Arabidopsis thaliana: one gene and its partner. The protein of the gene in region 1 interacts with the protein of each later gene in a biochemical or structural test. Each region holds a gene or a part of one and is shown in the gene's direction. Other genes may lie near its edges. The genes, in order: EIF3C and AT5G61200.

Region 1 (3,921 bases):
GATACATAGCTGGGGGAGTAGGGGTTTCGTTTCCTACTGACCAACTATTCAGAAGTCTTATAGTTACTCTGTTAATTCCTTTAATCATTGGCAAGGTGAGACAATCTTTCTGTTTGTCCTGTTCTTGCAATGATGAATCAATATAAATTCTGATATACGGTACAATTGTGAAAGCTAAATTTGCAGAGGTGGTTGTTGCCAAAAGATATGTGAATACTTTATTGGAAATTATAATAGGGTTGTTGCGTGGCTCATTTGAAAATGAAGAAAGCTTACTCTCTATTATTTGTTACTTTCCCTGATGTTTATATGAACCTTTCACAAACAGTCATTTCAGCATGAAGTTCTATCACTTGCCATTTTGCACACGTTTTTAAAATCGAGCTTTGACATACTTGGTTTCTTCTGTTATAGGTTATTCGAGAATCATTCAAAGGTGAGCGCCATTTGTTATATTTTACTTCTCTGGTGAAAGTAATTGAATACATACCATTTTAAATAGTTAGCAGTCACTTTATCGTGACAATGGATCAAAATGGTTCTGTTTATAATAAATATATATGCTTATCGCTGCCTACTTTCTGACCTTGTTGAAACTCTTGTTGAAATGTGTGATACAGGTTTCGCAAACTTTGTTGACAATAACCGTAAACTCTTTTCGAAAATCAACGCAATCTGCCTCAGTTTGGTAAGATATGAAATGTTAGTCTCCCGTAATTTCTACACCCCTTGAATAACTTTCTGAAGTCATATCCTTGGAGTTTTGCTTTGTTGCAGGAATCTTAAACTTGGCATTTTAGATGCCTGTACTTAAAACTTTCTCTTTTCTTGTATGATAGCTTGGGATTTCAACATTCCGTGGCATTGATGTGCCAATCCAAAGCTTTTACTAAATTGCAAAAACCATATTTGCAGTCACGGTTATGACTTTGGAGATAGAAGGACTTAATACTTTTTTCCTTTTTATAGTTTAACCTCTGCTTCCCTGGCTACTTCAACTGGTCTGACTTTGTTATTGCATTTACCTGGTTATTTTGGGAACTTAATAGTGTTTATTCCATGATTAATATTCTAGGTGCCATGGATCCAAGTGAGCAGGTCAAGATCACTGCTACTATCCGTTCAACCTAAGGTTTTCCTTGCAGCAGTTGGCATTGGAATGTACGCATTCTTCTTTTAACATATAGAAAAGATACCAAGTGAAGAAGCTCATGGAAATATTTGGCTTGTGTGTTAGAAATGCGGATTACGTTTGACAGAAGATTCTTACGTCTTCTTACAGATTGCTGCATCTTTCTCTACTAGCATTCAATGCTGTTTCAATCCGCATCCTCTCCGGTCTTACAGGTGGTAGCAAGAGCTCCAAGGAAAACAGCACTGCAGTTTTGCTCGTTTCAAGCCAGGTAATAATAGAGTTTGCCTTTTAGAACCGATTTTGATCTCTTAAATTTGGGAGTTCTTTTCTTGTGGTGGCATAGAAAACATTACCGGTAATGGTGGCGGTAGTAGAGCAATTAGGAGGTGCATTTGGTGAGACAGGGCTATTGGTTCTTCCTTGTGTAGCTGCACACCTGAACCAGGTTACAAATTGTATTATAATCATCATGTACTTGTGTGCATAATTTTATAAATTATTGACGTAAATCTGGAATGTTACAGATCATGATTGATTCAGTTCTTGTCAACTTATGGCTCCGGAGAGGAAAAGATACTTCGACTAAAGTAAAGACAGCTTGAGAGAGAGAGAGAGAGATAGAAAGCAATGAAACCAATGCTGTGGAGAAGGTTACATCCTAAACACACTGAATGTCAGTTATATACATAGCAGCAAGACTGGGGATTTTGATATCTTTCCAATCACCAAAGCTTAGTTGATCATTGACCATCTCTCTCTCTCTCTCTCTTTCTGTATGTATATGCTCTAGAGATTCCGGTCGGTGTTTGCTGATCCAATTTGTATGATTTATGAAACTATGTAAAAAAAAAACTTGTATCTATATTTGAAAACATTTAGTCATTTGACGTTACCAGCGTACAAAGCAATTCATATGTAATCTGTCTGATAAGCAGCTAGGAAAGAGGACTAAGAACCGGTTCTTTTCTCAATTTAATTGAACTAACCATCACTACAATTTCATTTAGTCCTGGTTCGACCAATTCGGTTTGTAAATAAAATAAAAACCGATCGAGAGCGTTTTAATTGTCCTCGGTTTTCAGTTTCGGTATGGAAATAGAATCAAATCGAATCCGGTTTAGTGAGTAAATCACGAAACCCTAATTCTATATATTTTTTCATCTCGACCAAAATGCTTGGACGGCTACACACCATTTTTGTTTAGATTCGTAATCCTCCTCAAGCATCTCCTTCGCAAATCTCCATCTCCATCTCCATCTTCTGAATTCAGGTAATTTTGTTCCTCATCATCTAGCGTAACAAATTTTCGATTCTAGTTTGGTGTAGATTGATTCGAATCGATTCTAATTCTTTGTTGATACGAGTCTGTATCTGTGACACGATTGTTTCGTTCAGATTATGTTCTTCGAATGGATTGGTTTGTTTTACTTATAATTTCGTTCCTCTGATTCACTATTCAGATTTGTTACTTTTGGTGTATCAGGTTCTTGTTGCTTACGCTTCCAGCTAAAAAGATGACGTCTCGTTTTTTCACTCAGGTTTCCTTCAACAGACCTCTTGTTTATAAACTCTCTTTACCTTTACTTGCTTCAGTTTCTGAATGATTTTTACTTGTTATGTTGATAGGTTGGAAGTGAAAGTGAAGATGAAAGTGATTATGAGGTAGAGGTTAATGAGGTTCAGAATGATGACGTCAATAACCGTTACCTTCAAAGTGGTAGTGAGGATGATGATGATACTGATACGAAACGTGTGGTTAAGCCTGCTAAGGATAAACGTTTTGAGGAGATGACCTACACTGTTGATCAGATGAAGAATGCTATGAAGATCAATGATTGGGTCAGCCTTCAAGAAAACTTTGATAAGGTTAACAAACAGCTTGAGAAGGTTATGAGGATTACTGAGGCTGTGAAGCCTCCTACCTTGTATATCAAGACGCTTGTTATGTTGGAGGATTTCTTGAATGAAGCTCTTGCCAATAAGGAAGCCAAGAAGAAGATGAGTACTAGTAACTCCAAGGCTTTGAACTCAATGAAACAGAAATTGAAGAAGAACAATAAGTTGTACGAAGACGATATCAACAAGTATCGTGAGGCTCCAGAAGTTGAGGAAGAGAAACAACCTGAAGATGATGATGATGATGACGATGATGATGATGAGGTTGAAGATGATGATGATTCTTCCATCGACGGACCTACCGTAGATCCTGGGTCCGATGTGGATGAACCTACTGATAATCTCACTTGGGAGAAGATGCTGAGCAAAAAAGATAAGCTTTTGGAGAAGCTAATGAATAAAGATCCTAAAGAGATCACTTGGGACTGGGTCAACAAGAAGTTCAAGGAAATTGTGGCTGCTCGTGGAAAAAAGGGCACTGCTCGATTTGAGCTAGTTGATCAGCTTACGCACTTGACAAAGATTGCCAAGACTCCTGCACAGAAGCTTGAAATCTTGTTTAGCGTTATTTCGGCTCAGTTTGATGTGAATCCAGGTCTCAGCGGGCACATGCCTATCAATGTCTGGAAGAAATGCGTGCTTAACATGCTCACCATACTGGACATTCTCGTCAAGTACAGTAACATTGTTGTGGATGACACAGTTGAGCCTGATGAGAACGAAACTTCAAAGCCAACAGATTATGATGGAAAAATTCGGGTCTGGGGAAATTTGGTTGCATTCTTGGAGAGGGTTGACACTGAGTTTTTCAAGAGTTTGCAATGCATTGATCCTCACACCCGTGAGTATGTTGAGAGGCTAAGGGATGAGCCCATGTTCTTGGCCCTTGC
Region 2 (3,921 bases), on another chromosome or scaffold:
AAGCATGTTGTCATGGTGAATCAATCAGAGGTCAGTTTCTTAATATTGGTAATTTGGTATTTTAATTTACAATTTCCAGTGTAGCAAAACATATGCTGAATATGAGAGTCTTAACTGTGGTAAAATATATAAAGAATGAAGCTTATATAGTTGCATCAGGTACTCATCAATGCGAGTAAGCTTGAAGAGAAAGATGCCCAAGAAAAAGCTCAACCAATAGAATCAATAGCCGAACCTCAGTCGCAGTCTCAAAACACTCAAGAGCATACCAAATTCTTTGAGAAGCAAAACGAAGAGTTGAGAAAGATTTGTGGCACTTTAGAAAGCAGTGTAAAAGAACCTCTTCCAAGTACTAAGGACTGGGTGGAGACTCTTAACAAACAGATTCCAAATGGAGAATTTTTCTTTGGTGACCTAAGATCTGATTTTGAAGTACCCAGGGAAGCAAGGTAATTTTTGCTAACTTGGATTTGCTTGCTTAGTATGTCAAAGATGCAATTATCTAAATGTATTCTCCAACTTTTGTCATAGTGAATGTTTTGATGGCATTGTCAAGCCTGTAAACCTTTCCAAAGGAGAAACTAAGCATTCATGGGAGGTAAAGAAGAAGAAAATCGAGGTGACCGTACGCCATGCAAGACCAGCTGCATCTAAACTTTGTCATCTTTGCGTAGTGATTTGTGATAGCCGGGGTTTGTCAACAGTTGTTTGTGATAACAAAGCTCATTGGCCGAACCAAAAACATACTACTGTAGTGACACTTACTTCATGTTCTACCTCTTTATCCTTGATCAATATCAAACCCTTCTGACTTCTTATTTTTGATGTAGGCCGCCTTTGTAGCCAGCAATGGTTCTCAGTCCAGCGTTTCAACCAATCCTTTGAAGGAACCAGAGGGTTTGCAGCCCGTGTGGTGCCAAGTCTGCCAGATCAGCTGCAACAGCAAGGTTGCATTTGCAAGTCACACATATGGGAAAAAACACCGACAGAACTTGGAATCACAATCAGCCAAGAACGAAACTATGTCTACTGGACCAGGCAAGCTTTCTAAAGATTATGGAGAAAAAACGAAGAAAGTATCATGCAAAAACCAAACCACATTTGATTCTCAACTGAAGAGTCAGAACCATTATACCATGGCGAAGGAGCTTGTAGAGGTAAATCTTACTATTTAGGTTTTCTTTCGTGAACTTGGAATCTGCTTTTAGTAATGAATATTACAAATCTTAGTAAAAATAATATCCTTAGGTTTGATTCCTATCGAAAGTGATGAAGTATATATTAGACCTTAACTAAAATATCGATGTAGAAGGCATTTGTCTCCGCATTTGAGCATGTCTCCGCATTGGAGCAGTTCAGTATTGTTGACTCAAGGACAATCCGAGAAGACACCGACCAAGAAAAAGAAGCAACAAAGGAGCAGACACTTGTAAAGATGGATGGTAATGGGTTTCGAGGGGCACCAGAAGATAAAGTGGAATTGAACCAAGAAAAACATAGAGAAGCACTGGAGCAGTTCAGTATTGACTCAAGGATAATCCGAGAAGAAACCGATCAAGAAAAAGAAGCAACAGAGGAGCAGACACTTGTAAAGATGGATGATCTTGGGTTTCGAGGGGCACCAGAAGATAAAGTGGAACTGAAGGAGAGACACACCGTATCTGAGAACTTGGTGCACCGTGTCTTCACTGAACAGAATCGAGAGTCTAGAATACCCAATGAACCGAGGTAAGAGCCAACATTCATGGGAGTGTATAATATGGTCTCTCTCTCTCTCTCTTTCTCTTGAATCTCGATCAATATGTGTGTGTCTAACTGGTTGCTTGGATTTTGGGTTACAGAGGATGTTTAGATGTGATTCCTGAGAGAGTAAAACTGCCACCAAACGTGAATGTGGCCAAGAATTTGGAAGATGAGCAGAAGCATAAACCCGAACCAAAAGCACAGGAAGCCGAAAACAAGTCTGGAGGACGCAAGGATCTTCCTGGAGAGGCTGCCAAAAGGGAAGAGATTAAGGGCCAAGCTGATAACTTTTGGACTCGCCTTTGGGGGAAAAAATATTAAAATAATGTGAATTGTTAATTCATGTTTAAGTTGTCAACAATGGATGTTTTCTTTTGAATGGCAGATTAACGTTTTATTTTGGATTGGCTTTTGCTTATTTCTTACTGTTGTTTCTTATATATAAACTTTACCTCTTAAAAAAGATTCAAGAACAATAGAATTTAGGCATTGTAGTATATAGGTTCTCTCAATAAATTGGGAAATAACGACCGGTTTTTCCAACAGAATTTTCGGCTTAGTCTGTAATGTAATCATCAAAAATTGCATTATTTGCTTTACGACTACAGCTCAACTGGGCCACCCTGATTACTTATCCGACCCGGCCCGACCCATCCGGATCTTCCTTCTCTTGTTTAAATTAAAGCAGATAAAAAGGAAACTGGAAAATTCAGTTCAAGTATTGTCGTCGGAATATTACTCTTCACCGGCCAGGTAAAGCTTTCCTACGACTATGCTTGTGTTCGTCGGAATGTGTTTTTCTTTCTTTTTCTTATAGTCTCTGGTCGCTAATGACTCGTATTCTTGGTCCAGTTTTCAGCTCTTGTGTGTAAATTTGTTAGTCTTTTTTAATGTCGAGTAATTGGGGAAGTAGCTCGCGAGATAGCTCGGGAAGTAGTTCAAGAAGCGATGTTGACAACTCGTTTGATGCTGACGAACTTTTACAGATTGGTTCAAGATGTATGGAGGTGAATCTGTTTTTCTTTCTCTATATCCTTTGTCTCAGAGATTGATGAAGTTCATATTTTTGGCTTTATGATCTCATGTTTTCATTGTAATTGTAGCTACGGAGAGAAAAGGAGATGCTTAGAGAATCTCAGTCACAGAGTGTTGAACTTGTCAGAGTATGTTCCTCTTGTGTGTTTTAGACTAGTGAATTGATTGTTCAAACTTTTTCTGAGATTTGTTGTCTTTTTTTTTTTTACCCTAGAGGTTGGAACTGAATGCGAATTCGTTGTCAGAGTCTCGTTTAGAAGATAAGAGAAGAATTCAGATGTTGGAGAAAGAATTGTTGAATTGCTACCAGGAGATTGGTAATGGAGAGATTCTCATGAAACTGAAATCTAGGCATATATTTTATATGAGCTAAAAAACACTTTCTTTGTCTTTCAGATTATTTGCGGGATCAAGTAAACTTCAGAAGCCAGGAAATGAACGACCTGAGTGAACATGTACTCGATCTTGAAGTCAGAGTAACTAAATCAGGGAAATTGGAAGAAGAAGTTAACTATTTGAGGGAGGAGTTGTGTTCGTCGAAATCTGAGCAGCTATTGTTGTTGCAAGAACTGGAGAGCACAGAAACTGAGCTACAGTTTTCTTTGTTTTCTGTTGAGAAGCTGGAGGAGTCGGTCTCATCCTTAACATTGGAGTCTCAGTGTGAGATAGAAAGCATAAAACTTGATATAGTAGCGTTGGAGCAGGCGCTCTTTGATGCTCAGAAATTTCAAGGTGAAAGCATCCAAGAAAACGATAAGTTAAGAGAAATAGTCAAGGAGCTACGGTTGAACTCTCGAGAGGCAGAAGAGAATGCTGAGTGTTTAGAGAAGCAAAACAAGGAGCTGATGGAGAGATGTGTAGCCTCTGAAAGGAATATCAAAGACTTACGTCAAAGCTTTAGAGGAAGGTTGGAAAGTGAAAGTGAAGCGCCTGTAAATCCAGATTGTTTCCATGACATCATCAAGAAATTAGAGGTTTTCCAGGATGGGAAACTGAGAGACAAAATGGAAGATATGGCAAGACAGATACTTCAATACAAAGATCTTGTAAAGCAGCTCAAGGTATTAGTTACCAAACAAAACAGTAGAATCAAAAATTTGGTGCCTTTTTGCAGCGTCACACATATTCTAACTAGTTAAACCA

Evidence for each region.
Region 2: the proteins of EIF3C (region 1) and AT5G61200 form a complex in vitro, tested with the Arabidopsis thaliana proteins (one study listed by BioGRID).

Annotation. Positions count from the first base shown.
Region 1 is NC_003074.8:20,835,549-20,839,469, reverse strand, and holds the start of EIF3C (eukaryotic translation initiation factor 3C), read left to right. Parts: upstream 1-2,194; 5' UTR 2,195-2,405; intron 2,406-2,595; exon of another isoform or gene 2,596-2,618; 5' UTR 2,619-2,649; coding exon 2,650-2,673; intron 2,674-2,761; coding exon 2,762-3,921. Other genes in the region: AT3G56160 (Sodium Bile acid symporter family), read left to right, coding at 1-95, 415-436, 621-688, 1,076-1,161, 1,283-1,403, 1,479-1,580, 1,660-1,737. UniProt on the Arabidopsis thaliana protein: Component of the eukaryotic translation initiation factor 3 (eIF-3) complex, which is involved in protein synthesis of a specialized repertoire of mRNAs and, together with other initiation factors, stimulates binding of mRNA and methionyl-tRNAi to the 40S ribosome.
Region 2 is NC_003076.8:24,617,823-24,621,743, forward strand, and holds the start of AT5G61200 (myosin heavy chain-like protein), read left to right. Parts: upstream 1-2,321; 5' UTR 2,322-2,496; intron 2,497-2,563; exon of another isoform or gene 2,564-2,595; 5' UTR 2,596-2,633; coding exon 2,634-2,750; intron 2,751-2,846; coding exon 2,847-2,906; intron 2,907-2,992; coding exon 2,993-3,095; exon of another isoform or gene 3,096-3,174; coding exon 3,175-3,839; intron 3,840-3,921. Other genes in the region: AT5G61190 (putative endonuclease or glycosyl hydrolase with C2H2-type zinc finger domain-containing protein), read left to right, coding at 1-30, 151-449, 532-751, 831-1,157, 1,310-1,728, 1,842-2,064.